2 linked regions of the Lepisosteus oculatus genome follow. The protein of the gene in region 1 interacts with the protein of each later gene in a pairwise test. Links are inferred from orthologs where the notes say so. Each region holds a gene or a part of one and is shown on either strand. Other genes may lie near its edges.

Region 1 (15,576 bases):
CAGGATCTCAACCATCCCGGTCACAAACTGTCATCCCCCTGCACTCTGGCAAGTGGTACCACCCCATTAAAACACAGACCACTAGGCTTAAGAACAGTTTCTATCTGACAGCAGTGTGCATCTGTTAACAGCAATGACTCAGAATTCAATGCACCTCTGCATTCTGCACTCTCACTTTCTACTTCATATTTATTTTTTGGTTTTATTTATTCCTCCATTTGTTTATTGTCTGTACATAAATAATTATTTACTGTTTTGTAATATACTGTGTACATTGTGTGCCATTATCTGTCGTACTGTGTTGTCTGCTGTACTGTGCATGTCCCGAGAAAACATCGCAAGTAAGAATCCCATTGTACATGTACTGTACATATGGCAAATAAATGCCTCTATCTATCAAAACATCTCCATAAAGCTACACTGACAATCTCAGAAATTGGTTCTTTCAACACAGTTTTCTGAGCCACAGAAGTAGCCCTTCTCCTCAGTGGTTAGCATCCCAGTTCCAGCTGTTGGGTCTGTTGTGTTTTATTCCAGCTGAATTTCTTACATTTACCTCATCAACCTCTGAAGAACAGCTTGAAGTATTACAATCATTTCAGTGCTTAAAGTGTAGAACGACATGATACATTAACATGCAAGCTGTGCCAGATGTTGGGATTCACAGCTCTCTTCTCACATAGGTTTATTATTGCAATCACTTGGTCGAATTTAACCAATGGGCCCCTGCAAGAACATTTACTCTGGTGTTTGACTGCATAGTTCTCACCCGTGTTTGCACATTATTAATTGTGAAACAAGTTCTTTAGGAAGCTGCAGGGGAACAGCAAATTTAAAGCATGTTGAAACCTTTCTTTTCACCACATTTCTTGGAAATGATCAAAGGAGATGTGACTTCTTCCCGAGTACAGCATATGAATTCTGTCTCTTGTGCCAATGCCACCACCAAAATAAGCCAATCAGATGGTCATGATGACAGAAATGGGCTCATCAACCAATACCTTCCGTACATGAGAAGGAAGTACCACAAATGTCATTTAAGAATAATAATCATAATAATAATTCCTTACGCTTATATAGCACTTTTCTGGACACTCCACTCCAAGCGCTTTACAGGTAATGGGGACTCCCCTCCACCATCACCAATGTGCAGCCCCACCTGGATGGACGTTATATTCTATAACGACAATCTAAAGTGACATTTCCAGTACGGAATAATGTAATGAAATTGGTGGTGACACTTCTTCCCATCAGTTCGCTTGAGGTCCAGACCCACTGGAATCACACAGTTCCAGAGAAGAGAGGCCAATCTTGCCAAGACTCCCAAACTCAACAAGGTGTTTAAAAAGTCAAACACTAACAACAGCCTTCCACTAGATGGGGAAACAATTAGCTCTTAAAAAAACAGGAATTCAGGTGTGATCAAGCACACGCATTACAGATGCACATCCATCCATTTTCTAGCCTCTTCTTCCACTTCAGGGTCACCAGAGAGCTGGAGTCTATCCCAGCAAGCATCAGGCACAAAGTGGGAAACACCCAGGACGGGACGCTGGTCCATTGCAGGGCAGACATACAAAACAGAGACATCCTTAGGTGCACATTAATGTGACTCTTTGTTCTCCATTCAAGTCGCTGGTAATTCACAAAAATTAGTACTAATATTTTTTTGTTTCCAGAAGCCACTGTAATTCCTAATTCAAATTCCATGTGAGTAATACAGCAATCAAGCTGTCCGCGACAACAACAATTATACAACAAATTGTACCCGTCTTTTTGTCGCTTTTGACACATGGTTCGATTAAGCGTAAAAAGAGCTTAATGTTTTAAGAGTTCAGATGGAACTGGAACCTCAGTCAACACAGCAGTTACTCTAGGACTAAGAACGGGAAACCGCATTAAAACGTCTGTGTAGGAACATCAGCCTTGAAATCAGTCTTTGTCCAACTGACATTAATGTTAAAGCTCTAAATTAACCTAGTGAATTACATTTTTTGTCTCGCGTTCTTAAATAAATTAAAGCAAACCTTATTAAAATTGTTCTGACCTGTTTGACATGTAACGAGATTACATTTTGGTATATACTGTAGCTGAGATCGAGTCACATAACCAGCAGTGGGGAAAGCATTTTTAATTACCGACGTCCCTTTTTTTGAAAGAAAAAAGTAGCGTAAGAGAAACCGAACAAAATCAGCAGTTAAAACTGGAGAATAAATAAAAGCATATGAAGTGCGTGCCTCTCTCACGCCTACTGATCTTATAAAAATGAAAGACGAGGGCCACCGTGAGAAGCAGGATGTAAACATGGTTGAATGTTAAAAGAGTTTAAATTCTGTTTTTTAAATTACGTAGCATGCCAGATGAAGCCGTGCGCCTTGGCATGGTACATTGACACATAAAAATGGAACTTTCTGTTTTTATTTTCCAAAGAGAATTCGATTTGAGCAGCTGTTGCAGATGTTCTCATAAAGAAGTCAAAACACTGATGTCAAACTGTTTACATACGGCATAGAATAGCATACCAGCTCTCTCATGGAACTAATAATTTCCTAACGTTTTACCAGATTATCATCGATAAATAAGGTATTTGGTGTTAACCAAAAATTGTGAAAATAAGAACAGAACTACTTGTATTCATTTTCACTGCTAAAGAATGGTGTGCTACAATTATAGTCATGGACAAACACCTCCACTTCTGTGTGAAGCTTGTAGCTTACAGTAGGACTAAATGTTTTGGTTGGGAATTTTAGATTTTGGAATTAAGGAAGGAAAAGATTATTTTTTGCTGTTTGTGTTTCTGTCATTTGATGCTAAGTTTTGTGTTTCATAATTAAAAAAAAACCTTTTACAGATTCTTACCCTAACAATTTTTCTTCAATTTTGTTTTCACAATAGAACTACTTCAAAAGTTGTAGGTCCTTTTACAGAACTAACTAGGTGTCAATAATGTCAATGTAAAAGCACTTTTTACCGAATAACATAAGGAACATATGCATGTCATTTCTGAACATATTTTAAATGTTATAACTTACATTCTACACGATTAGGAAATAAAACAATACATCCTGAATTGGAGTACCTGTAATGGCTCGATGCCAAGACTTAATTCATGGAATTACTAAAGTCTTAGAATTCAGAATTCATTTTTTTTTTTACTTTGCAAAGAGATTGTTTTGCAAGGACATTAATTAAATTTTTTTCTATTTAACTTCCTGTGAGAAATGTCATTATTAGGATTGTATGCTCATAAAATATACAACAAGTAATCTTTAATAAACAGTATTGCTACATTGGGAAAATTTTCACATAACATAGTGTTCTTATTCTGCAAATGACTAAAACAATGTCTAATTTTCCCATTTTAAACACATTGGAATCACTGTCTCTCTACTGGTACGAGTCCACAGACAAGTTGAGGTTTATATAAAACTAAAATGATATAATGAAAATTACAAAATACTGCAACGAAGATCCATGTTCAGTTTTATGGTTGCAAAAACATCTTTAAGTCATAATGTTCTTCTGATTTTGATTTTGTTATTTTCAAAACTATCCTTATTTCTCTTGAAGAAATTGTACTTATTATACAATTGCGCTTATTCATGGCAGATGCCAGTAATTAACAGCTTTACCCAGCTGTTTGTTTTCTTGCAAAATATGGTCTATATTCAGGTTTACTAGATTAATTACTGCATCGTGCAATTCAGTAAAGAGATATCAGAGGACAAAAATAAAGTATTTCACAAGCAGTGTCAAAAGATATGGGCCTCAGACATGCACGTACCTGTAGGAATGTATCATCTAGCTTTATTGCAAAGTGTAATAATAATAATTATTTATTTGACTGTTGGGATACTGTTATTTGAACGTGCAACCTTGCAGCTACATGAGCTTCTAACCTCTATTTACATTACTGTCTTGTTGATGCACCAGGTCTCACTTGTGTCACAACAGTGCAGCTACTGTAGTTATGTTTTTACTATCAGATGACCCTCCCATAGAATGCAATGTTGGAGCTGTAATCATATGTTCATTTACTACAGCTTCTAAGCAAACTTTGACAGGGTAACTGGTTGCATGCTTGAAGAATATTTGGTATTCAAGAAATCATTGACAATAATAAAGCATATTCATTGGGGTGGCAGTGTTGTCAACGAGTGGCAGGAGCAGACCTTTTCAAAACATAATAGTGCACTTTTTCAAGGTTTATGTTTCATCCACGAGTTCTATGTATTTTGCGTTACTGTAGAACACATTTTCAATTTGTGCTTTACTGCGCTGCAGCAATTCTTAACTTCACAATACAATTCCTGGTTTCTTTTTTGGCAGTTTTATATCAGTTTTAGATATTACCCTTTGTTTTAAACATCTGATATTTATTAGGCACCTCTTGGATTGCAAAACAAAGTAACTAAACTCTTGTATAGTAAATATTGGATCTTGTTGCTGACTGTGATGTATGAATAATGGCACCATTAGTGTAAGTCACTGAAAATTCTGCATGCAGATTAATGGGTTGATACACTCTTTAGTGATTTTGTGGTTACTATTTAACAGCCAAACAAGATTATTATATTTATTTAAAAAGGAATAACAAGAGCAAATAGCTGTTTGAATGAAGTTTACTTTAACAGCTTTTTGATCTGTTACAGCTGCAAATCCGATTTCATCCACTCACTGGTAACACACCTGGACATAAAGACCTCCTCAGTCAGGGTGGCAGTGCACAGAGAAACAGACTTGTTCTTTCACAGCAGTTGTAAATGAGCATAGTCTGTATGAAAAGAAACATGAGGCAGGAACCTTGAGGTGTTTCTTAGGAGCATAACCTCTGTTATATCATCTGTCCCATTCAAACGCTGAAACAGCAGACACTGCAGACGATGAATTGCATACTTTCAGTAGATTTGTTGGAAGATCCGAAGAATAACAAACAGCTAGAAAGGTTTTAACAACTGGGTTATTGTGCCTTTTTATAAAGTAAGGGAATAAAAGCAATGTAAAGTCTTGAATAAGATAAAAAAACAAGTGTAAAAGTTTTAACAGTGTAAAAACAATAAATACATCAGCATTTGTAAAAAACAACCCCTATAAACTAGGCTAAATGAACAAACATATATCCAAACATTACTGCCAACAGAACACTCTGGTAGAACAAGAATAACCTTTAATTTAAAGGTGAAAACAAACCAGGCACTTTCATATTCCAGCCCTGTTGCAACTCAGGTGGAAAAAGGTGGGGAACATTTATACTGTACTAACAGCTAGCGGAAGATCCGAAGACCAAAACAGGTCTTCAGCCCAGAAACAATGAATTAACGCTGAAAATCATCCTGATGCAAAGGCTTCTACCTTGTTTGTGCAGATCAATGTGTTTAAATTCCTGAGCTCTAATACCACATTTTTACTGGTTTGCATTTATAGATGTGCAACATCTTGAGAAATATAATATGGGCACCCACATACTAAGAAAAGATGTTGCAGATTGGTACTGTAGTGCTCTAGGGTTCACATGGCTATGCGCCCTCGCCACTGCTGCCTCAGGTCGGCCCCCCCACCACTGGGGACTCGAACCCGGGGCCTCCGGCGTCACTCAACAGGGACCCAGCCAGCTAATCTAAGGGAGATCTTGAAAAAGTGAAACCGAAAGCGCTACAGTACAATATACTGTATGCTCAAATTAGAAGGCGAATACTACATGTTCTTTGAATATGTGCAATTAAATGCACTGCTTGCTTAGCAAGGATGATCTCTGTTGTATCACTTGAGGGGGGAGAAGTCTGATATATATATTTTTCATTTTTATGCAACATAAGATAAATGCTCATACTGAGTACTTGCATTCAATTTGTTAGGGCATATTGCACTGAAATATAATAACTTAGTCGCTTTTATATCAAACATCGTGTCAGTCTAATTGAGATTTCTCACATAGTTCAAGTGTTTAAATGTGGAGAGTCAATAATGGATGTTTTCAAAAGAGGTTAAGCCACAGAATAATTCTTCGCTCGTCTAAAGTTTATCTTTCTTGTATCTGACACAAGGTTAGACATAAAAACTGGTTGAATTACATTGTTTCATTAGACTGTAAGTAGGTTAAAGTTTACATGGTTTTAAAACATGGTTGTTGTCTTTAAATCATCTCCAAAACATACAGAAAAAGACAAAAAATATATACAGCATGTAAAATATCTTCCCTGGATATTTAATCAATCAACCCATCAATTAATCAATCCATCCATCCATCAATCAGTTGCACATGATAATATCCTTGTCAGAAACAACGAAAATGAATGAATAATCTCCTGTGCATTAAGGGGTTATGATAATAATAATAATAATAATTGCTTACACTTATATAGCGCTTTTCTGGACACTCCACTCAAAGCGCTTTACAGGTAATGGGGACTCCCCTCCACCACCACCAATGTGCAGCATCCACCTGGATGATGCGACGGCAGCCATAGTGCGCCAGAACGCTCACCACACACCAGCTATCAGTGGGGAGGAGAGCAGAGTAATGTAGCCAATTCATGATGGGAGTGAGACTTTGCAATTAAATGACACTGGCAATATAATGAATGACGTGACATAAAAGGTGTATGGGAATGAGCTGTGTACGTTTGCTTTTTACAGCATGTCTAATTTAGCGTGTCAGATCAAAAGGAAGTAGAATTATTGAACACATGAACCCTTACGAATTTCTGCTAAATAATGAACCGGCAGATCACAGGGATTGCAGTTTCTGTCGCTGCTGGACTTCATAGAAAGACGTGCGTCACTTCTACCCGCTTTGCTCGTTTCTTTGGAAGGTCCAACATATATTTTGATGGTCTGGAAAAGTTATCTAAATTTATTTTTAACTTTCCATGCACCATTTACAGCGATTTAATTTTAAGATGCAGAATACGCAGCCTATACTAAAATCGAACTTTACAACGCATGTTTTACCGAGGAGAATGACAAAATATTTGGTTCATTTTCAAACAAACGAGAATTCACAACACCGTTATTGTTTTATGCTGTTTCCACCGAAAAAAAACAATAGCGTATAACATATATTTTAAAATTAATTTTACTTAAATATTAGTATTAGACGGATGGCAATCCATCCCTAACATACATTTATCATCCTTGTAATACCATAAAGGGAAAATATGGGGGAAATAAGAAATTAAAACTCTAAGACCATCTAAAATTTCGCTTATGTAAGCATTAATTTATGAGTATTTTATGTCATTATTTTTATCACAAAATTTACAGTACTTTATTTTATTCTGTCGAAACTACCTCCCGCGATGTCGAAAATATGAAATCAAAGATACATTTACTTACTCACTGTAGCGCTTCTACCAATTGCTAGTCAAGGCAGATACAGATAGGACTCTGTACTGGTGCAAAGAATATTCGTAAAAATATTGTAATTGTGTTTTTTTGAGTGTGCTATTAAATGCTGGACATGGGTTCTGAAATGCACACATCCGATCACAGTGTTGTGCTTTTTTCGTCGTAGTTACGCACCTCTGAACATTAGACGTTTTACAATTATGTGGTCGTATCTGACTACATTAGACTATTGCTTTTTGAATTTTAGTTTTACTGGATGTTCTTAACGATGGGCGCTCTTATGTAAGATCCGTATACTTATCATTACGATCCGTATAATAATAATCCCGAATAATAATAACGAAAAGCTTAACTAATATGTCTAATGTAATAATTAAGGGTGGTTATTGGTTGTAAAGAATGTCGTGATGGGCAAGAACATATGCGTCTCAAAGATTTATAATGTTCACTAAGCATTCTGCAGTTTCTCATTTTACGACATTTTGGCATTTCTGACTCGATAGCAACATGTAATCCTTCATGGTACTGGACATCACTGTACTCCTGATGCCGAAGTCGTGATGCTGAAATGGCGTCAGGATTGTCACCCCAGTCTGACAACACAAGTAAGTAATTATCCGTAGTGATTTTAATCTCACTGCTATTTGTTATACAAACGTTCGCTTCTATGTAGTATGGTATAATAATAGTCTGCGTCAACACCACGTTTTAACTCGATGTTAAAATACCTGCAATGATCTACAAGGAACAGTAGGAAAAACCACGGCAGGAGGGCCCGACTACAATCCAGCATAATAGAGCAACCAACATGTAGCAAAACAAAGATGTCAGTGAAACATGATTCGGTTCAAGCTTTATTATACCATGGGGGAAATTCGTTTTACAGCACGGTCCGATACAACCAAGACAGACAAAGGTTACCAGTAAAGAAGACTGTCTAGCAGTGTTTCAGGAGATAAGAGGAGCACTTGACATTGGTGGAGAGTGAGACGGCAAAGGGAATGAAGGATTTCCTGAGTCTATTACTGTATCCATTCACGGGACACCTAACAGTAAGCTAACTTACTGTTAATAGGTTTATGATGACGTGAAGATATTTAAAAAAGTACCTAGTAAATTTACTAATAAAATGCAAGAATACAGCATGAGACAAGTAGTGGTGGTGGTTGAGTGCCATTGAGTTGGTATGACTCATGGCAACTCTATGGACAGTTCCACTGTCACTATAGAGTTTTCATGGCAAGATACAGAGATAGATTGCCAGGTCTTTCTTCCACACAGATAGTGCGAGTGTTGTTGCCGTTGTCACAGAATCGTGAGCCTCTGCCACCAACACCACCCCGTACTGCTGCTGCCCAGTGTGGGTTATTAGAGAACCTTGTGCCCAACATGGGACACAAACCCACTATCCTGAGATTAGGAGTCTCATACTCTACCAACTGAGCTAGTCGGGGCTCAGAGGCACATGGTACTGCCTGACGTATTGTATGGGAAATCACAACTTATATTACATTGCACTTGAAGTCCGGACATGCAGTAGACCAGTTGGCTGAAGGTGGTATTTATGCAGACAGTTCATAGCTTGCAAGGCAGGAAGAAATAGTGTAGGAGTTGCAGATGAAGTGTGCATGAAAGGTTTTGGAGGAGGTGCCGGGAAGTGGCTGAATACAGAGTGCTCCTGGCTTTGTCACGTAGCTTGGTCCCTCCAAACTGACTAAAGACTCGGGAATGAGATGAAGGAGAGAAGATTTACAAACGACTGCGTCTTCTAAATGGAGTTTATAACGAAAGTTCGGGAGGGATGACAACCAAGTTCAATCAGACTCAGCTGTCAGTAATTAGCAATCGCTCCGGACAATCCATTCCCCTCCCAAACGCTATAAATACCTACGAGATCCCTATCTCTCTCTCTTGCATGTCTCTTGCATCCCACCTCTAGCGGGTTAAAGCCAAAATGTCGCTCCATGATCCTATCATGACACTCTAGTCTTGGGTGTTGTCATTCCTAGTGAATTAAGATTCTCTATCTGATATTTTTGCATTTCTTGGTCTCAGAAAAGGTCTGGCCTTTCTCAAATTTTATAAATATTCAGTGAATTTCACGTTAGCTGTTGACTTCATTTGGTAACTTCATTACACAAATATGTCACTCGGTGACAGTCTGCATCCCCAGCCAGGCGTCCGTGAAAAACTTAATTGTTTAAAATTTAAAAGCTTGGTTTCAAGTGGGCGTTTACTGTCAAGCTCTTTGAGGAAAAGGGTTTAAAAAACATTTTATTACTGGGCCATTCCCTTGCAGCTGGAGCCATGGCATTGGTTTGGATTTTATTAGCAAAGTTCACTTGGAGCTGTTGATGGGTTGTGAACTTGTGTGTGAGACCTAGAGTCCTTTGTTATGATGGCACATTTGATATCAGTACCTGCATGGGAGACCTCCTGGGAAAAACTACTGGGTTGCTGCTGGAAGACTTTTAGTGGGGCCAGCAGGGGGCGCTCACCCTGTAATCTGTGTGGGTCCTAATGCCTCAGTATAGTGATGGGGACACTATACTGTAAAAAGGCACCGTCCTTTGGATGAGACGTAAAACCGAGGTCCTGACTCTATGTGGTCATCCCAGGGCGTTTCTTGAAAAAGTGCATGAGTGTTACACTGGTGTCCTGGCCAAATTTCCCATTGGCCTTTACCAATCATGGCCTTCTAATAATTCCCATCTCTGAACTGGCTTCATCATTCTGCTCTCCTCCCCACTGAGAGCTGGTGTGTGGTGAGCGTACTGGCGCACTATGGCTGCCGTCACATCATCCAGGTGGGGGCAACTCATTTGTGGTGGTGGAGGGGAGTCCCCAGTACCCGTGAAGCACTTTGAGTGGGGTGTCCAGAAAAAGTGCTATAAATATGTAAGGAATTATTAATTATAAATATTAACTTTGTTGGACTTGCATTCTGTATAGGGTAAAGGTTTGGGATGAATTTTGAATAAATCTAATTGCGTACCCCCCTCATCTGGCAACTTGCCAAAATTAATTAAAGAGGATTTTTCTGGTCAAGGTCACCTTTGTGCTTTAGGTTACCCATTTTAAGGTCAACAATTTAAAGTGGTTTTCTCTTTTTTTTAAAAAAAATAGCATTTTTTAACTCAGGTGGTCCCAAAATCCTAGGATAATTTTTAAAGCAAAATCTGAGATGGTTGGAAAGCAGTCTTTTTTTATATGGAGTAACCATATTATTCTTAATTCAAAAATGTAAATGCTGCATTGTATGCACACAAGCTGTACTTGCCAAAGAGGTCAGGTATGGTATAGTTGGTTCACATTGATATGCATGCACTATCAAAACTGTGTGTTATTCATATATTCCTTTTTGTTATTCTCTTTTCCCTAGAGCTGAGCTGGCATGTGGGAGATAGGTGCCTTGCTCCCTGCTCTAGCGAAGGGAGTTTGTGTGCAGGGACAATAAAGAAGTTAGTTTCGATTGATGAAGACGAGTCCGTGGCAGTGGTGAAGTTTTTCAAGTATGACGAAGAAACTGTGCCAGTTACAAAACTGCAGGTGCTTCAGAGTCCTCTCCCTTACAAAAGCAAAAGAACTTCTGTATTTGGAGGTGAAGACCTGGAAAAGCCCCTTTTCCACAACAGGAAACTTCCTGGTGCAGCTGTACCGTATAAGTTATCAGAAAACGGAGACAACATTCCTTACACTATCAACAGATACCTGCGAGACTATCAACGAGAGGGGGTAAAGTTCATTTACAGTCACTACAGGAAAGGCAGAGGCTGTGTTCTCGGAGATGATATGGGACTCGGAAAAACCATACAGGTAAGGAATTCTGTGAAGACTCACACAGATTGGTCATCTGTTTTTTTTCTTCCTTTTAGAGCGAGCATGGTATAAGTTTCAAATGCGGCCCTTAAAAACATCAGTCATATTTCTCCACAGTGAATATTTAAAAAAACATTGCAGCTGTTCTTTCTAAGTTGTATGCATAGTGGACTGCATAGATGAAAAAGATTTAATGCAAAGGCTTATGGTGTTTATAAAATGTACTTTGCCATGTGATTTCAGGTCATTTCCTTTTTGGCTGCTGTGCTACACAAGAAAGGGACACGGGAAGACATTGAGAAGAATGTGCCAGAATTTTTGTTATCTGACGAACAAAAGCCTAAAACACAGAAAAGTAAAAAGGTAAGAAGCATACCTTGAATATGACAAAAATATATCTTATATATATATATGACCAAAATAATGCTTAGGAACTGTTAAGTAAATGGGTAAAATAAAAAGTAATGAGTAGAAACTTACTGTGGTCATTTTAGTTTTTGGACTTAAGATTGTTTCCTTAATATACACTCATAATTCATCCTAATGTTAATCACGTAAAATATCTTTTACAAAATGACCACAAATTTGTCAACAGATGTTATTCGAATATAATGAGAAGCTGGAAAAGAAAGTACAGATTATTTATAGTTATGTGAGCAAAACACCAGCCCTGCATAATACCAGGTTTCAGGCGTTGCAACTCCGCTGGTATAGTTAATAAATAGAGTATGCAGACTCAAAAGAAATACTATAAGGGTCCAGTTTGACAAAGTTGCTCAAGTTAGAGATAATGTGGTCAGCGGTAAAAAAGCCTGTATTCTTCAGTCCTAAACTGTTACCCTTTAGCTGTTGAAGTAATGATTGATATTTTGGTTCATTTTAGATATTCCTAATTGTGGCTCCACTGTCATTACTCTACAACTGGAAAGATGAGTTTGACACTTGGGGTTATTTCAGAGTTACCATCTTACATGGCACAAAGAAAGAGGAAGAGCTTGCTCGAGTGAAGAAAGGCAAGTGTGAGTTTGCCTTGACAACATATGAGACGCTCCGCCTGTATCTAGATGACTTTAACAGGTAGTGTCTTGATTTTTCTCCGACATTGTTTATAAGAATTAAAAGAGAACATAAAGACTGTACCTTTTAATATCTAAAGGTTGTTAACAACAGCTAGTGATGCTGTTTTCCAGAAATCCCTGAGATTACCACAATTTGTTCCAGAATTGCATATAATTTCTAGAAATGTGTTATGCTTTCAGTTACGTCTGGTTTTCCTCGTACTGTCTTGAGTGAGTTCTTCTTGTTCTGAATGCAAAATTGATTAGAAAAAGATTCGATGAAACACATCCTTTTACTTTTTCAGTCTTCAGCCTACATGGATTCAGTGTTTACTCTTTTAATATCTAGTGATTATGACTGTAATAGTTCAGACCTTACTGTATGACTCATAGAAAATGCAGTCAGACTGTTCCATTACTTAAGTTTTTCTTGCTATAAGTCACTATGTTTTCAATACTGTGTGTGATTTCTGTGTGTGAGGTGAGAGATACAGTATACTGCATATAAAGGCACAAAACTAGAGGCAGTTTTTACAAATTCAGCTTGATTTAATATTCATGATCGGAATGTGTTAAAATTGATGTTGCAGCTACATTTACTGGGAAAACACTTATATGTAGGTGCATTCTCATGTGGTGAAAACCTGAAGGTGCGCCACTCGTGTGGTGATAACCTGGATGATTTGTTTCTACAGCATTGACTGGTCTGCTGTTATAGTTGATGAGGCCCACAAGATTAAAAACCCCAACTCACAGATAACACAGGCAATGAAGGAACTGAAGTGCAGAGTGCGAGTGGGACTGACGGGGACCATTCTCCAGAATAACATGGAGGAGCTGTGGTGTGTAATGGACTGGTAAGCAGAAGTAAGATTACAGTTGCAGTTCAAAAATATTTTGTAGGTCATCTGTTCTTTTGATAGAAACTGTTTCTTAATAAATATCCTATAAATTAAAGCTCAACCATTATAATATTTCTTTGCAGTTCCTTGGTTACAGTGCACAGTGTCATACACACTGGCATACTGTGCATCATAAGAAACGTGTCACACTATTTATGTATGTTTCTGGAAAACATACAGTATACAGAGTTGGGATGTTGATGAAAGGTTTTTGTACCATTTTGACTGTGATCCTTTATATTGTGATCTTTAAAATGAACAGCAAGAAGGCTGAATCAGTCAGGCTGTCTGCATCAAGGCACAAAGGTGTGGCAAAAAGATAAGAGTAAAGATGCTTGGAACACCTCATTAAGCATTTCCTACATTCATTGCTTCAGGTTGTCTTCACCTTCCTCTCCTTGTTCCAAGTTCCATGGTTGTTTCTCATTTGCATTCAGCAATATGTTAAAAGACAACACAGAGCAGGACCTCAGCTTCAATTCTCAGTCAATACAGATTGCAATAGAGCAGTAGATTCAGGCTAGATTGAAATCCTTGCAGGAGCAACATTCCCCAGAAAACTATGGAGAATGAGCTGCTACCTTCATACAGCTGACCTGTGGGGAAAACAAAGTGGTCAGGTGAAGAGTTAAAAACCAGGTAGCAGAGGCTTCCAGTGGTTGGTCAACATCTGCTATCCGGAGATAGAGGGCAGATCCCCTGTTGTGCGATCTCATCAGAAGGAGAAGGGAAAAGAAAAAAGTTAGTGACTGCCCCAACACCCAAGTGTGTCACAAAATCCTCAAAATCCTCATCTGTGTCTACAGATCACTCTCGCAGGGTGACCTGAGCTTTGTATAGACTGGAAACATGCACAGGGTGAGCAGCATGGTAAGATTCCAGTTCAGCTTGGTTTGGTTTGGGCATACCAGTGTGAAAGTACTCAACAGAACAGTGTGTGTTCTCAAAGACAGTTTTCCGAACTCATCCATCAGAAAGACCACCGAAACTAAAATTATTCTGCAGCTAGGATCACACATTCTCCCTTCTCTTAACGACAGACTACTGTTCTTTTAAATTTTCTCCATTCATTGGAAGTTTCATTTCACACCTCTCTGTACCCATTCTGACTTCACACCTCTTGATTGGCCTCTCTTTCTGTCCCCTGCTCCCGCCTCTCATTCCTCCTCCCTCCCATCCTTTGTTCTCCTGCTACTTTACCTTTGCCAACTGCCCTGTCTCTCTCACACCTGAAGAAGGCTCCACGGCTGAAACGTTGTGTTCTCTTTCTTCTTTTTTTCAGCATGGAATAAACCTATTACTTGTTCCTTTGTAGCCTACGCATGCTGACGCAGCTACCTACCTGAACTAGTGTGAAAGTACGATTGGAAAGTACTATAATCCATCGGGAATCTTTACCCTTGCTCACTAGGATGAGTAAGAGTTCAATACATTTTGGTAAATACGTGTGGTTTAATAAACACAATGGAACTAAAGGAGTCAAGAACATTGTTTCAGATGAAGGGAGACTTTGTGCTTTCCTTCCTCTCTTCTTTTTGGTTGCAAAATAAGGTACACTGTTGTTTCGTCAAGTAACTGCAGTGTAAAAATAATATTTTGAAAGTCTCGCCTCTTTGTTTTTGTTTTCTAGGGCCCTTCCAGGATGTTTAGGTAGCTTGAGCCATTTTAGGTCGATGTTTGCTGACCCAATTGAAAAGGGGCAGAAGCACAGTGCAACTAAGCGAGAGCTAGCTGTAGGAAGGAAGGCTGTCAGAAGGCTGGCAAAGAAGCTGTCTCAGTGGTTTCTGAGAAGAACCAAGTCTCTCATTAGTAACCAGCTACCTAAAAAAGATGATAGAGTAAGTATCAAGAGAAACCGGACACTGGTAAAAGCTGTTTTTTCTTCTTATTTTGCCAGCATGTAGATAACTACAGATTGGAGTTTTGAAGAAATGTGTGTACAGTTCTCATCTGAGTCCTTTTTTCTCCACCCTTTTTGTGCAAAGATTTCTCCTGTCAAACTAGACCTGTGACATCTTCAAACAGCAGCAACGCTATTTAAATTGATCTCTATCATAACATAACATCAATTTAAGAGCCCTATACAATTTCTTGCATTAGGAATTCATCTTTTCGCATACCCCAGCTTGCTCTCCATGAGACACAGACAGGGAGAGAGCCTGTGGTCAGAGCACAGGGTCAGCCATTGTACAGCACCCCTGGAGCAGTTGGGGTTAAGGGCCTTTGCTCAGGGGCCCAACAGAGGAGGATTCCTCTGCCAGCTGCGGGATTTGAACCAGCAACCTTCCAGTCACGGGCAAAGATCCTTAGCCACAGAGCCACCGCTCCGTATCACCAGATAAAGATAAAGGCTAAACCTGTATTGTTCAGTAAGCATGTCAGACTTATTGATTTTGCATATCAGCAGTTAACTCTTTGCAAGTCTTGTTAAGACTTAGCACTTTTTGGAA
Region 2 (15,388 bases), on another chromosome or scaffold:
CTGAATCACAGTATCCATGCATTGCTAAGACTAACATAACTAATACACACACAAGAGAGAAAGGCTGAAAATGAGGAGGTCTTTCAGTTCCTTTGGTTTATTCGGCAGTGAGCAGTGAACTGATCCAAAGATCTCAGCAGGCGGGTTTGTAAAGGGTATCATACGGCCGGGGAGCTCCTCCCAGACTCCCGCACACGTGAGAGCAGCTGGTCAGAAAGAAAACGCCGAGCTCACCTCACCTCTCAGCTCTCTTCCTTTTGCCCCTCTGCGGGGAAGGAGCCCTGGTCTCTGTCGATCCTGCCTCCCTCTCCTCTCTCCTCCTCACCATCCAGGCCGGCAGAGCCCGCTGGCGAGCCTGCATCGCTCGGGCGCCTGCAGACACACACCCTGGCCGGGCCCGTCAGAGGGCTGGTGCCTGGTTATCCACGGCTGGTCTTCTGCCCGTTTCCGAAGCACATTGCCGCGGCAATGACTAGTTTGAACGCGCTCTCTGCAGCGTGCAAAAGGCGCTTGAATCAGAAGAACATTTCAACTGTTACTAAGAAGTTTTATATTTTTACAACTCGCTCAGACATTTCTTATTTTAAGTCTGTTAATCTCCAAGGGGAGTATTCCATTAAATCGTGGAAAGATCAGAAACCAAAACTAAAACTGCAAACTAAATTTAAGCTGTCTTGTGATTTTAAATGTGCAGTCTGACAATGGTCACCCTTTCAAACAGGTTTTGATAACTAGTTCACTGTTAAAATATTTCGTTTCTCACAGTATTAAAAGGACTGGCTGCAAAAGATAAGAAAAAAAACTATGATTTACCGAATAGCTAGGTTGATCGATTTTACAATCTGAAGACAACAGCTACTATTGTATTTTCTAATACACCTTTAATATAAATTGCAATATATCGTCTGTAAACTGTAGATCTAACCAGTTTGTAAATTCTCCGAATTACTCTTCTCTTCCTGTTGATAAACAACACATTGTACTTCCGGGATATCTATGGTCATTCAATCTTCTTACGGCCTATCATACAATGCATGATGGGAATTCAAAGGACTCCAGTGACGTGTTTCTGTTTACGTGTATAACGAGTCTTAATCCCTAGTACAAATCATCTGTTTTTCGATCGAGTGAATTTCTTCACAGAATTCACTACTATTTACTGAGAGGCATTCCGACTTTAATAGCCACATACTCTTGTTCTCTACAATTGATTTTCCTATCTGCGCGGTCTGAAATTACTGACTGCTTATTCTTAATATAATTAGCTGGTCGTGGCTTGGCTGGCAAACGGTGCTTCAGACAAAGATGCAAGCTTTTCAAATACTGTACATTGACCTCTTCGTTTTGGTGACGCTGTTTAGATATTGTGTTAATTCGTGTTTTTATATACTTATATCTATCCCTCTGTAGCTTTGTTTGAATTGCCACTGGGTGGCGGTGGTTTTTTAGAAAATCACAATACTGTCTGATCAATAATGTTAAGTACAGATTAATTTTAGCGCTCTCAATAACTGTGATAGAATTTGCTGTGACAGTTGAACTGTATTATATAGTGTATAACGTACAGCAGCGCTTCCCAGCCCCGGTCCTTTAGGAACATCGTCTCTATCCCAGCTCTTCCCAGCCCCAGTCCTGTAGGAACAGTGTCTCTATCCCAGTGCTTCCCAGCCACAGTCCTGTAGGAACATCGTCTCTATCCCAGCGCTTCCCAGTAAAGTGCCTAGTAAACATTACATAGTATTAAATTGACAAGACATGTCCCACAGAAACCCAGAATGTTGGCCCTATAACCTGAGACACAGTACAACACCTTGACAGGACAGCAAGAGAGACAGCCTGTGTCCTAAATAAAAGAAAACAACTCGGCACTAAATCTCCTTTCCTATAACCTGGATGCCCAAAAGAGAATGGGAGTCTATCTCCCTATTCTAAAGACACATCAGCAAATTAGGAGAGAACATTTTTAGCCTGAGAATTTCCTAAGACAAACCAGGCAGCAAGCTGTTGAAAAACAGGTTCAAATTCTGTAGCCAGAACCTGGTGTCCAATACTGATCAGAACAAGATCCTCTAGCCTGGCACACAACACAGAGTAGGAGACAGGAGATGGTGCTCCTTCTGTCTGGCTCCCTGTCTTCCTTTTGTTCCTTCCCTGTCTCTTTATTATTTATTATTCGATTCAGAACCGTATTAGCAAGACCAATGAGTTATAGTGCTGCCCCGGCCGATAGAATCAACACAACATTTACAGTACAAACTCTTTATTCCACCTCTCTTTTATGCTGGGCTCTAGGTCTGATGAAGACATTAATGTTTTACTAAGAAAGTGATTAACTACAGTAAACCAGAAACTTAACTGACACTGGGTAAACACCTCCATTGGAATTCAAATTCTACCACCGTAAAATACTACCAAAAGCATAAAATGCATAATCTTTAGTTCAGGATCTGCACATCTCAAGTTCAAGTTAAAATACTATAAACTAAACTAAACTTAAATACTTGGGGAACTTGCATGTGAGTCCCAGGTGGGCGTTTCCTGACCGAGGGAATGTTTTTCCTCTATCCACTCAAACACAGAGGTGCCCAGAGTCACTGTCCCATCATTGGTCTGAACATGACATACCAGGTAAAGTGCGTAGCTTGTGAAAAATAACAAAACCTGTGCAAACGACTCAGTTCTTGAATGTCCTAAGGTCATACTCAGCTACGTCTAGGAATACTATTTTTAGCTCACTGTTCTGTTTCTTTCTCTTTGCTGGTTTTCCATTTCTCAGCCTCAGGTAAACCTATTTGTATCTTGCTGTTTCTTTAACCAGTGGTTTATTAATTAAATGCTGCCTGTTCATGCTTGTCTGTGTTGTTAAGACTCCACTTGCACAGTGGAATGGTTTTTAAGGAGGCAAATTCTTATGCCTATCAAATATTTTAGTTTGTTTTGTTCTTATGCAGTTTTTGCTGATATTTAAGAGTTTTTATCTTTGAAAATGTTCAGTTGCGCATTCAATTATTTAAATCAATTTTGATTAAAATATTCTCTTTAACAAATGTGTGAATGTAATTTGATAATCAACAAAATGGGATATCATTGGAAGGCACATCAATACTTTGGCAGAGCTTGCAACACACAAGTACAACACAAGTGGACCCCTGGATTCTAATGATACTCAGGGGTCTAATCGTGTTGCACTCGCAGTGACTATTGAGAATAGTGTTCCTCGAGGACCAGGGCTGGGAAGCACTGGGATAGAGACAGTGTTCCTACAGGACGGGGGCTGGGAAGAGCTGGGATAGAGACGGTGTTCCTACAGAACCGGGACTGGGAAGCTCTGGGATAGAGACAGTGTTCCTACAGGACCGGGACTGGGAAGTGCTGGGATAGAGACGGTGTTCCTACAGGACTGGGACTGGGAAGTGCTGGGATAGAGACAGTGTTCCTACAGGACCGGGGCTGGGAAGTGCTGGGATAGAGACGGTGTTTCTCTGGGACGGGGCTGGGAAATGCTGGGATAGAGACGGTGTTCCCTAGGGACAGGAGCTGGGAAGCGCTGGACAGAGATGGTGTTCCAGCGGGACCAGGGGCTGGGAAACACTAGGATAGAGATGGTGTTTCTTCGGTACCAGGGCTGGGAATCACTGCTGTAGGGAATAGGTTACCACCGATGTCCAGAATGTATTACTTTTCCGTAAATAATGAACAGCTGTTGAAAAGTAAGAAACAGTTAGACCATACCATAATTGGGTCAATATAACATACGTTTATCAATGAAAGAAACACGGAGAACCTGCTGGGTCCCGAGCTTGAGGGCTGGGGGAGGCAGCATGGGCTGTGTTTCTGCTGAGCGCCTCTCCTCCAGCAGCTCATCCGAGCACTGCTCCACACACAGGGGCTCTCTCTTCGCCACTTCTCTTCTTCGCAAGATAATTACAGTAGAAGTCCAGAGAACTACTGTCGCTTGTTTGCTGTGTAAAAATGAGTTTCATATTCAACATGATATTCACAGTGCCTTTTCATGCTCTGCCTTACCCTTGTACTCATCAATGGCCACAGGGGGGGCACTGTACTCTCAGGTGAGCAGTGAAGTGCAACAATAACAACTCCCTTAACTGCATTAGAAACCCATTACAAAACACACCCAAGACATTCAGCCCTCAGGTCATATTGTAACATCCATTCATTTTGTCATCTAAAATTGCATTTTATGAAGAATGCTTTAGCTTCTTGAACACTTGCCTGGAATCACTAGTTAGCTCTATGATGTCTTAAAAACAAACTATGAATCCACTATCCACACATTGGATTCTTTCCAGTGGATATTTCTGCTTATGGAAGGGGTGGTTTCACCATTGTTTGATACCATTTAGACCAAGCGTGAATCCAAAGCTTTGACTGAAACACATCATGTTTCACACATCAGTGCAACAGGTAGGTCAAGTGTCATTAAACAAAGTATTTTATTATGTTATTAGAATGAAGTATGGAGTTATTAGTTATGGAAGCTTCTAGACGGCACTAAAATAAGAGTGCTTAAATATTTTGATCAGTATTGAAATGCTCACTCAGCTCTAATGTTAAACCACCTCTCCTGATACACCCGGCTTCAACAGCAGACTGTAAACACAGCTGCAGATGAGGTTGATAAATGGGGCTAAGAATACTACACAGCCTGTGGTTTGACACATCTACCTCCCTGAGAGAGAGATGACGCACTCTATGCTGAAATGAACAGGAATGACAGCAGCAGGGCTGACGTGTCCTCTCTGTCATTAGAAGATGGACATGAGCTTAGTTATAAAGAAAGCCTTGATTCAGCTCTTTCAAGAGCTGAGGGAAAAGCTGACCTTCAGTAAGACAGAACGAGCTAAGCCAGGCTCAGGGGCCATGTGATATACAGCAGTCACTTTGTGGAGAGAATCTCCTCAGCTCAACCAAGAGACAAATAAACGGTAAATTCATTCACAGAAGGAAGGGTGTTTCAGTTTGACAACAGCAGGCTTACAAGTTCTGTAACAGATCTCCCTTTTTGTGCTGTTTTTCATTAATTTCAATAGATCAGCTTTACAAATCACAATCACTGAGAAGAAGTTAGATAAGACAACAATTGATCATTTGGTTTCACAGTTACTGAATGGAACATAAAGTGATGGTTTAAATATATATTTAAATATTTATTTTCAAAGCTTCTGAATCTGAAAAGCTGAAGTACAGTAGTTTTTTATATTATGAATTGCTTTACTATAAACGGACTAGCTGGAGAAAGTGACCTACAGTATATAAGGATTACAGAGTTTGGAGTTTATTTAGCTGTGAGAATTTGCACTCCGTCTTTAGCTGGGAGGAAACCTTAATGAAACAGACAAAATCACGAAAACCGAGACTGGGCTGATCGTGAACTGGTCGGACCAGTTGTCTGTGCTGTTGTTATTTTTGAAATATTTGCCACTGACTTGTTGTTTCAAAGAACTTTCTCAAGTCGTGTCTCCACCCACACGCTATCTAACATCTTCCAGTGTTTCTTCACTGTCTCTCTCTCTTTCTCTCTCACTCACACACTCCCCTTGCCTGTGCACTCCAGCAGTTTGTAGTATGTAGCAGACAGCAGCTGCAAGATGAATTTCAAAGCAGAGCTGCTCAAGTCCATCTGGTACGCCTTCACATCCCTGGACGTGGAGCAAAGTGGAAAGGTCTCTAAATCCCAGTTAAAGGTACGTCTGATTTATTTTTTACTTTTACAAGTGGTAGCAGATTGGGTCTATGCTGCCAGGAAATCTATGTGAAATGAAAACCTAATTCAGAATAGCAACTTCCTACCTTCATCAACAACACCTATGCAAGCACCTGGAATTCCCAGCTTGTCTTGGGCTTCTCTCCCTGGAGAGTTCGCCCAGAACCCCCAAGGCCATCTGCTCTTCATAGGCAAGCTGGGACAGGGTGAAGCAGAGAGAGGTTAGAGAGCTGTTTCTTCATTTCTGCAGTTGCTTTTGCTTGTTTTTCTATATCTTTATTGCATCACAGTTGTCTGCTTCTTGTTGTTCATGCTGGTCGTTTCTTTAGTGCACTTGAGCCCAGCTCAAAAAATAAAAAAACACCAGTGGTGGTGTTTTGTCCATAATGGAACCAAGGTGTGTGTGTCTTTGCGGAAAGAGCAGAGGTTAGAAGAAACAGAAAAGTGTAAAAGACAGGCCAGGAGTAACTGATTTTGGCTGACCAATACAATTTTATATAACATATGCTACCACAGAATATGTTACTTAAACTTTCTGTAAATCAGTTAGTTTTAGGAACCAAACTCTCTATGTCAGATCCTTCTGTTCCCAGTCTGTGTAATGCCCACTTATTATTTTATTTTCCAAACAGCTCAGAGTAAGCTACTCACGACTTATCATTGATTAATAAAACTTAAATTGTGCTTCCTCCATTTGCAAATTGATGGAAAGTCATCTGTCTTTGAAGAGGTCCATGAACTTCTTCCTTTCGGTGTAAAACAGAAATGAATTCAACCTCCTGCTTTGCTTTAGACCTGCAAGACCATCCTGCAGCACCTAAAGGTCTCTTTGCATTAACAGCTCAACACCTGCAGCTGGAAAGAGCTGTTTAACTGCCCCAGTGGTTATTTCAAGTGGGGCACTGAGAACTGAACTGGAACAACGATATGCTGACATAGCAGATCTGCAGGATGGGGGCTGGGCAGGACTTCGAGCAGGTTCAGTGAATGGTGACACGCTGCACACTATCATTGTTTTAACACACTGCATGAGAATATTAAGAATATTGGGTCCCGCGGTCAGGAGTAACTCCTTCGAAGTGATGCAACACAGACAAACCAATAATATAAAGACAGGGGAAAAAAACTGTGATGATACAGCACATCGGTGCTGTAGCTAGAAAGAATCAGCACAGAGATAAGATGCAGGTAAGCTCTGTGGGGAGTGCAGTCTGCACGCATGAAGGCAGTTTAAGTCTTACCAAGCAATGCAGCGGATTTCTTCTCCAATGGAGAGCTGTCCTTCCTGCCAGCGACTCTCACACCGGCCACAACCCTGCTGGGTCCGTTCGCATGAAAGTCACTGCAGATGTGAGATATGTATAGCTAGTATACCTTACTAGAGGAAGTGTTCGCAGTGTGAAGAAATGGGAGAAATGTCACTGACTTGATCTCTCATGTGTTAGCTTCATGCGGGTCCTGCAGTCCCTGAGACTCCTCGTGAGGACCCTGTGGCAGAGCTGCTCAGCGTGCCAGAGCCCCCAGCATTCCTTTCCAAATGGCTGACTTAGTTTCTTATTTTAAAATACTGCTCTAAACAGGGTGCACTGCACTGACCTTTCTAACACAGCTTGGTCATCTCTGACCATCTATTGCTTTTTATTCATTTGACGTACTTATTTGTTTTGATTATTTCTGTTCTGACACAGTAATTTTAACATCCAAGTGAAAAAAATGAAGCATTTTGGTCTGGTAACAGTAACAGCAGTGAGTGTTACGAAGTGATGGATATCTTGGAGGGATCATCACCAAGATGTTTATCACTAACAGGGGGTCTGTGGATGGTGAGTTTCACCCCTCGATGTTAGTTTCTTTGTGTTTTTGACACGTGGTCACTCTTTGCTTAATATCCTACAGCCAGCAGGCCTGTTTCCTACGTCTATCATGTCAACATTATTAAATAACTATTTTAAAATCATCTGACAGGCTTGCAGGTCCTAAGTCTGTAAAAAGGTCTCTGAGATGGAGAGTCAACAAACAGTTTGGTGCAATTTGGGTTCTTCTGAAATGTTGACAGGTTTGCTGTTCAGACCCTCCAGTGTGGCAGAGCATGACAGATATGAATGTTTTTTACGGGAACTGGTTACTTTTCTTGTGTTCTAAAGATTTTATCATCAGGCTTGTTGCATTAGTATGTGCTGTCTCTGCTGGCACTGTGCCTGATAGAAGCAGTAGTGTGTTTTCTGTTATGTTTTGTCAGTATCTGTGGTCACGAACAGAAATATAAACGGCTCGTGCAATCTTCCTTTCATCCCCATCCTTAGTGGGGAATCAAAGCTAACATTTTCTGGCAACTATTTTATTGTTTGTTTGTTTGTTTGTTTGTTTGTTTGTTTAAATCAACACAAATTCTAGATGCATAAGTAAAATGATTGGAAAAGTATTATTGAAGTAATGCTACAGAACACGTAAATTGGTTGGTACAGTGTCTAGTCTGAGACTAATTTGTGAAAAGGAAAAACACAGAATTTCTGCTCCACATCCTTCTCAAATCTTCCCTCGCAAAAAGAAGTAAACCTAACAGAGAAGACATAAAAAAGGGACACAAAAAAGGGAATACAAATTGCACTAAACAGTCTCCAGACAGCAAAATAAAAACAGAAAGGCCAGTCCTAACAGGTTTCATCCAAGCAGCCCCTTTGTTATAACAGATTCAAATCTAGGGTGTAGAGGGGAAGCTCAAGGTCTCAAAATAGTTCAGAAATTGTAACAAACTTTAAAAATCATTATGGTGAAGCTACATGCGTACTTGATTTTATCTTCGTTTCTCCGAGCCATTGAACCCGTGTGGGTGGGGCAGCTTGCTTCGAAATGGAAGAGGATTCGGCACCTTAGAAACGGAGTTGCACAAGCCAAGCTGTCAGACTGTAGTTCTGAGAGGGTGAGGTCGACAGCTGGCACACCAGAAAAAGCAATAAAAGGAGTGGGTGCCATTTCTAGATGAGTAATTCCTGAGAAAGCACCCCAGATAGAGGAGCGGAAATGAACCAGTTCAGGACCAGACCAAAACACAGGCATGAGAGTGGCAGAAGCTCGTGCACATCTGTCACATGCTGGGTCCGAATTAGGACATATTTCACCAAACTTAGCTTTCTACATCTGTGGTACATATGTGGTGAGGTATTGTGTAATTTTAAATTTTATGAGACCTTGCCTGGCACAGATAAAGGAAGAGTGAACCCAGGCTAAACTGGCCACTCACTGGCCTATTTGAATAAAAGCTATCGCGTTGCAAAAAAAACTTTTAAAGTGCTTCGTTGCCCAATTGGGAAGTGTCAATAATTCATGTATATCGGCTCCACCCAGTCACTCCTATACAGCCCTGGAGTGTGAGTATGGGAGCGTTTGAGGCATAGCAAGCTGCACAGTGCCTTACAAAACAGTCAATAATAATAGTAATAATAGACTGCACAGCTCTTGTGCAGGAGTTCTACACTCAAACTCCATAGCTGTGACCTAATGCTTCTGATGGGGAAGGCATAGTCCCATGAGCTGTAGTAAATAACCTTACACTTATACAGCTTTTCTGGACGCTCCACTCAAAGCTCTTTACAGGTAATGGGGATCCCCTCCACCACCACCAGTGTGCAGCCCCACCTGGATGATGCACCAGTACACTCCCCACACACCAGCTCTCAGTGGGGAGGAGAGCAGAGTGCACCAGTACGCTCCCCACACACCAGCTCTCAGTGGGGAGGAGAGCAGAGTGCACCAGTACACTCCCCACACACCAGCTCTCAGTGGGGAGGAGAGCAGAGTGCACCAGTACACTCCCCACACACCAGCTCACAGTGGGGAGGAGAACAGATTGATGAAGCCAGTTCTGAGATGGGGATTATTAGGAGGCCATGATTGGTAAAGGCCAGGGGGAAATTTGGTCAGGACTCCAGGGTAACACCCCTACTCTTTTCGAGAAACACCCTGGGAATTTTAATGACCACAGAGAGTCAGGACCTCAGTTTTATGTCTCATCCAAAGGACGGCGCCTTTTTACACTGCAGTGACACCATCACTATACTTGAGAATTAGTATTTCCAGAGGGTGAGCACCCCCTACTTGCCCCACTAACACCTCTTCCAGCAGCAACCATAGCTTTCCCAGGAGTCTCCCATCCAGGTACTGACCAGGTTCACACCTGCTGAGCTTCAGTGGGCTGCCAGCTGTGAGTTGCAGGGTGATATGGCTGCTGGCATTGAGTCACTGCTGATTGGTGGAGCAGGGAGTCTCTCAGTGATGTCACTGCCTGGCTGGCCAATCACAACCCCGCCTCCAGCAGAGTTGAGCCACTTTTCTGCCAGTTGGGAAATACATATTCAGTTGGTGAGATGACTCAGGATTGAAGCTCAGAGCCAGTTCCTTTTTTTAAACTGCAGTTTAAGGGTGGAAATGCATCCCTCAGTAAAGTGTTCTGCGAGGCAGCTGTGCAGCCAATCTTGAGCAGCGTTGCCTCTTTTCAGTGTCAAAACAAGTAATTTTAAATGCACTTTCACTTAGTTCTCGCTTGTGCCCTCTTGTTCGTGTTTCACTGCTCATTCAGATGTCTTCTGGGATGATTTAGTCAGCGCCTTTGAGGAATTTGAAAATGTGTATCAGCTGCCCTTGTAATCTTCCCTGTTCGAGCCTAAAAAGGTTTAGTTTCTTCAGCCTGTGTGGTTCAATCCCCTAATCCCCAATGTATCTGGTTGCTGTTCTCCGGACTGATTCCAGAGCAACAATATATTTTCTATAATGTGGTGACCAAAATTGTACACAATATTCTAAATGAGTGCATTATAACATTTTATCATGAAGTCACGTGATTTAAATTCTATGCTTTTAACTTTAGATCAACATTTTGTTTGCATTTTTAAACACTTTCTCACATTGTTTTGGAGGGGGAAATGACATTAACATGATGACCTACGTCTTTAACAAAGTACAGCAGCATCATCAAGAGTGCTTGCTCTACCTTGCTAAAGTGGGCCGTGCAGGCTCTGATGAGACAGGGATTGAACCGAGGCCAGTCGCTCTGATTTTTTAAATGGGCTTTGCAGGCCAATCGCAACCTGTCAGTTCGACACCCCTGGCTTAGGGGATGGAGTTGATTTTCAAAGCCTGCTATAGCAAATAGCACTACTTTAAACACTGGCTAACGACTTATTCTACCGAAAGGTCACAGGAAAATTGCAGCATACAAGCTAAAAACTGTAAATCAAGAAATAAAGATGCAGAAGGTTTGTCATGAAAATCAGTGTGAAGCATATTGATCCCAATTCTAAATATGTACAACCTACAACCTAAGTTGGCGATGTTATCTTCAGCCCATTTCTTCCGGCGTTCAAAAATGGTTAACAGATTGTTGATCTAGCAAGTTTAAAACCATGTTTGCCTTTTTGGTGCCTGTAGTCGAAGTTTTCAGAAAGTCACATGTAATCCGTCGGAATACACTTCATTGCTAGAGATTCAAATGCTTGAGAGAGGAAATGTGTCCCAACAATGTAAATGTGTCTGTAGACACCAGAGACGTCACAGCTACCTGTCCGTGGTTTGCTGAGAGCAAAGCGATCACATGCCAAACAATCAAACATATAACTACATACTAGACCAGCTCTCCCAGTCCATGAAGTTCGTGTAGGGAGCTCTGTCAGCATGCACAGCCCAAATGTTGTGTCTCTTTTCATTTCCTTTCAGCAGGGAATAAATCTTTACCTGGTCCTTTGTCTCCCATCCCATGTCTTGTATGTCAAATCCTTAATTACAAACTGCGGTCAATTAAGCAATTAAAGGATCCATTCCGGAATTAGCTTGGACTGGATGGTCCAACATGAGCTGTAAAAGCCAAGGTTGCCTGGCCCTGCATGAAGTTAAGTCTTGTTCTTTATTTTTCCATAGCTTAGAGTCAGTGCAAGAGCACCTGACACATTACACATCACTGCATAAAATCGCCAGGTTACGTTGTCCATGTACAGCTGTTGAGAGCTTTGCAAATTAGGACATGCCCTTCGGTCCAGCTGTGTCACTGGGCCGATGGTTGCTACAGTAATTGTTCTCTCCTGCCTATCTTGAGGGGTCAAAGAGAATTTGCACATTAGCACAGTGGTGAGTATCCCCTCCTGTCACGCTGGATCCTGGGGTTCAATGTCCGAAGAGAGGGAGCGGCTGTTTGGCGACAGGAGCAGGGTCTCAGGGTCAAGGATCTGGCTTCAAAAGGGGAAGGTTGTGGATCCGAGTTCCATCTGGGGTGCTTCTGTTGATCTCTTGACCAAGGTACTCTGCTCGCATTGCTGCAGTTGATTGCTCCTACTGTACTACTCCTACTGAATTGGTCTCCAGGCTGTCACCGTGAAACAGAACGTGTTCCTATCTGGTTGAATGGAGGTGTTCAGACCATGGCTGGGCTGTGTCCTACACACACTTTAATCCTGATGAGGGGTTTTTACATTCAATAGCTGCAAGTATGGATTGAATGCCTTGACATCATTTCACGTTTACCTTAAGCTTTCAGATATCGAGGCTAATAAATGTAGTAAATCCTGTTGAAGCAGCACTGTGTTCCTTGTCATTGTGTGCAGGTGCTGTCCCACAACCTGTACACCGCCCTGAACATCCCCCACGATCCTGTTGCCCTGGAAGAGCACTTTCGGGATGACGATGCTGGCCCTGTGTCCAATCAGGGGTACATGCCATACCTCAACAACTACATCTTGGCCAAGGTCAGAGAAAAACCCTTGTGTCTTTCATGCTGCTGTTTCTGTATCACTGAAACTTTGCAAAAATATCACCCGAGCACCCACTTCCATCTCACATTGTCTCTGACATTTAGTCAGAGCTAAAATGTGTTCAGCAGTAGGTGTTAGAGAATCTGATATCTCAGTATTGGGATATTACAGTACTCAATCAGATAAGATCTACAGTAGCTTGTACTTCATCTTGAAGGAAACCTTGGATTTGCTGATGGCTCAGTCCTCAATGTGAAAACAGGATTATTGAGAACCCAGATTATTTTTACATTCAGTAGTAAGGTCAAGGTGACGTGCTGATATGTTCAGTGTATATTAAACAGGAAACACACTTCTTCTAGAAACAGTATTGAGAGAAAACAAGAGAGCGAGACATGAAAGAGGTTCTCACTGGAGGTACAGGGCAGGTTAATGGTGTACACAAGCACGTACGAAAAGTTACAAACAAGAGGAGGTCGTTCAGCTCATCTAGCTCACGTGCTTGCTAGTAGATGATCTATCTGAGGATCTGATTCAGCCATTTCTTGAAAGAATTCAGGATATTAGCTTTGATGACATGGCTGGGTAGTTTATTATAGATACCCACAAGCCTTTGTGTAAAACTCCTTCCTGTTCTCAGTTTTAAATTCACAGTTTTCACTTGTGTCCTATTTTATACAGTATTTGTAGCTCATGTTTCCATTTCTGCCTCTAAAACTCGTATGTAGTCGTCTACATACAATACCACCTGCTGCGTGTTTGCCCAGTCTTGAATTCTGTCTAATTTTTTAATTTCCCTGGCTGCTTCTACAGAGTTTGCTTATCCTCCTATTTTGTATTGTCTGCAAAGCTCTATAGTATAATTTTCCAACTATACCAGTACGTAGATCATTGATATACATGAAGAAGAGCAGTGGTCCTAATACACATCCCTGCTGTACTCCGCCAGTGATGTCACCACAGAAGGAAATTTCACTCTTTCTCTCTGCTCTGTGTTTTCTGTCCATTATCCAGTTCACAATCCAAGCACACACATTACCTGGAATGCCTCGGGCCATTATTTTCCCAGTCTTTAATCGTTTATGAGGAACAAGCCTAATGAAAATATAAATATACCACATCATGTTCTGTGTGTGTTATTACTGTAGTTCAGTGGTTCTCAAACTTTTTGGACCAAGTACCACCCCTAATCCAACCAAAGCATCCAAGTACCACCTACAAGTCATCATCTCATAGGAACCCCAGAAATTCTCAATGACCAACATAAGCGCGCGTGCACACACACTCACACATACATATAATAAATATTATAATAATAAACTTTATTTGATATAGCGCCTTTAAAGGTGGCTTCTCAAAGTGTTTTACAGAAAAAAAAACATTAACAACAACTAATAAAAAAGCACCATTTCAGTGAGAGGGGTGAGCCTGTTTAGTTGACCAAACCAGATGTGAATTAATTTTTCGAGCCTTGATACAATTCACAACAGAGTCTAACAGATATTAAATCGTCAGGCATTTTCTTGACGGCAAAGGTCTCGCGGTGGATGTTGCAATGCGTACATTAATTTCTGGAGCAACCTCTCCAATTCGTGCAACTACACCATTATGTCGGCTGCTCATTGCTCTAGCACCGTCTGTACAAACTCAGACGCATTTTATCCAGTCGAGGCCATTCTCTTCGATAAATTCATTCAGAAGCTGAAATATGTGCTCTCCTGTAGTTCCTGTTGGTAGCGGTTTACAGAACAGAAAGTCTTCATGAGACGTGCCCTCAAACTCGTATCTAACGTAAATGAGCAAATTGGCCAAATCGACTACAGACTCATCTAATTGCAGTGAAAAACATCTGCTCATCTTAACGCGCTCTATCAGTGTACTTTTGATATAATCCTTCATTTTAATAATTCTATGAATGACTGTGTCTTTCAGGGGGAGGGGGGCAGCAGGTCGAGCTCTTTAGCAGCTTTTTCTCTACACATAATATGTGTCAGCTCTTTTGCCAACGGTAAATAAGGTTCTTCAAAAATAGTGTAGCTTACCTGCTTTAGCAATACGCAAGCTTGCATTTTTCCGCCTTTCCGTTTTTATTTCCGTAAGTTTTTATTTCATGCGCATGGGAGCAAAGCACAGAGACGCTCGGTGTATTTTTCTCAAATTAGAACAGTTCTTAAATATTTTTCTGTTATCACGCTTTCGTGTGCTCACAAGATTACCTGCGTTCGTAGCACGTATTTCTATGCATTCCTGTGTTTACAACGTTGGCATTGTTCCAAAATTACGCACATTCTCCTTTCTCCCTATTTGCTGGAGATACAGTAGCTTTTTTAAATACAATTGGTCACTTGCATCCGTAGCACACATTCCTATAGAGTGGTATAGAATTACAGAGGATCTCTTGTGTCCACTGAAGTATTAGCGCGCACTGTATCACAGTACGTAGGCTGCGTATTCGACACGTATTAAAATACAAAATATGAAAACCCGTCCCGATTTTTCAGTGCACACGACACAGTTCCAGGGTCATTTGGCGTACCACTTGGCGGCACTCCACGTACCACTGCCGGTACGCGTACCACAGTTTGAGAACCACTGCTGTAGTTAATTGTTCAACGAGCTCTAAAATATTAAGACCTACCTTAATCCATGTTGACTATCCCCCAGGTTCTTACTTCTTCCTAGATAATTCTTTAGTTTAATTCAAAGTGTACTTTAACCGGTAGAATACCAGCAAGCCCTACATATTTGTTCATCTTCACTGAAACACTTCCTCTTCTGTGTTATGATTAAATACAGAACTCTGTCTCTCTGCGACCTGAGTCATATTGTAGATGGGTTTTTTTTTGCTAAGGACCTGAGTAAAATATTCATATAATAAATATCTGTTTTGGTGTCTAAAAGTCCTCCATCTTTACCTCTAGGACAT

The links.
Region 2: the proteins of ercc6l2 (region 1) and cell cycle regulator of non-homologous end joining interact in binary tests that used the Homo sapiens proteins (3 or more experiments, as listed by UniProt). The two-hybrid records come from large-scale screens. The link is inferred for Lepisosteus oculatus from reciprocal best matches to the Homo sapiens genes ERCC6L2 and CYREN.

Annotation. Positions count from the first base shown.
Region 1 is NC_090698.1:57,211,002-57,226,577, reverse strand, and holds the start of ercc6l2 (DNA excision repair protein ERCC-6-like 2), read left to right. Parts: upstream 1-7,334; 5' UTR 7,335-7,915; coding exon 7,916-7,952; intron 7,953-10,729; coding exon 10,730-11,163; intron 11,164-11,409; coding exon 11,410-11,529; intron 11,530-12,049; coding exon 12,050-12,243; intron 12,244-12,919; coding exon 12,920-13,081; intron 13,082-14,756; coding exon 14,757-14,964; intron 14,965-15,576. UniProt on the Homo sapiens protein: Promotes double-strand break (DSB) end-joining and facilitates programmed recombination by controlling how DNA ends are joined in a spatially oriented manner during repair.
Region 2 is NC_090702.1:55,882,666-55,898,053, reverse strand, and holds the start of cell cycle regulator of non-homologous end joining, read right to left. Parts: upstream 7,293-15,388; 5' UTR 6,967-7,292; intron 5,922-6,966; 5' UTR 5,812-5,921; intron 5,706-5,811; coding exon of another isoform or gene 5,610-5,705; exon of another isoform or gene 5,519-5,609; intron 3,963-5,518; 5' UTR 3,757-3,962; intron 1,135-3,756; exon of another isoform or gene 510-1,134; 5' UTR 362-509; coding exon 240-361; exon of another isoform or gene 235-239; intron 1-234. Other genes in the region: differentially expressed in FDCP 6-like, read left to right, coding at 5,610-5,705, 12,316-12,456. UniProt on the Homo sapiens protein: Cell-cycle-specific regulator of classical non-homologous end joining (NHEJ) of DNA double-strand break (DSB) repair, which can act both as an activator or inhibitor of NHEJ, depending on the cell cycle phase.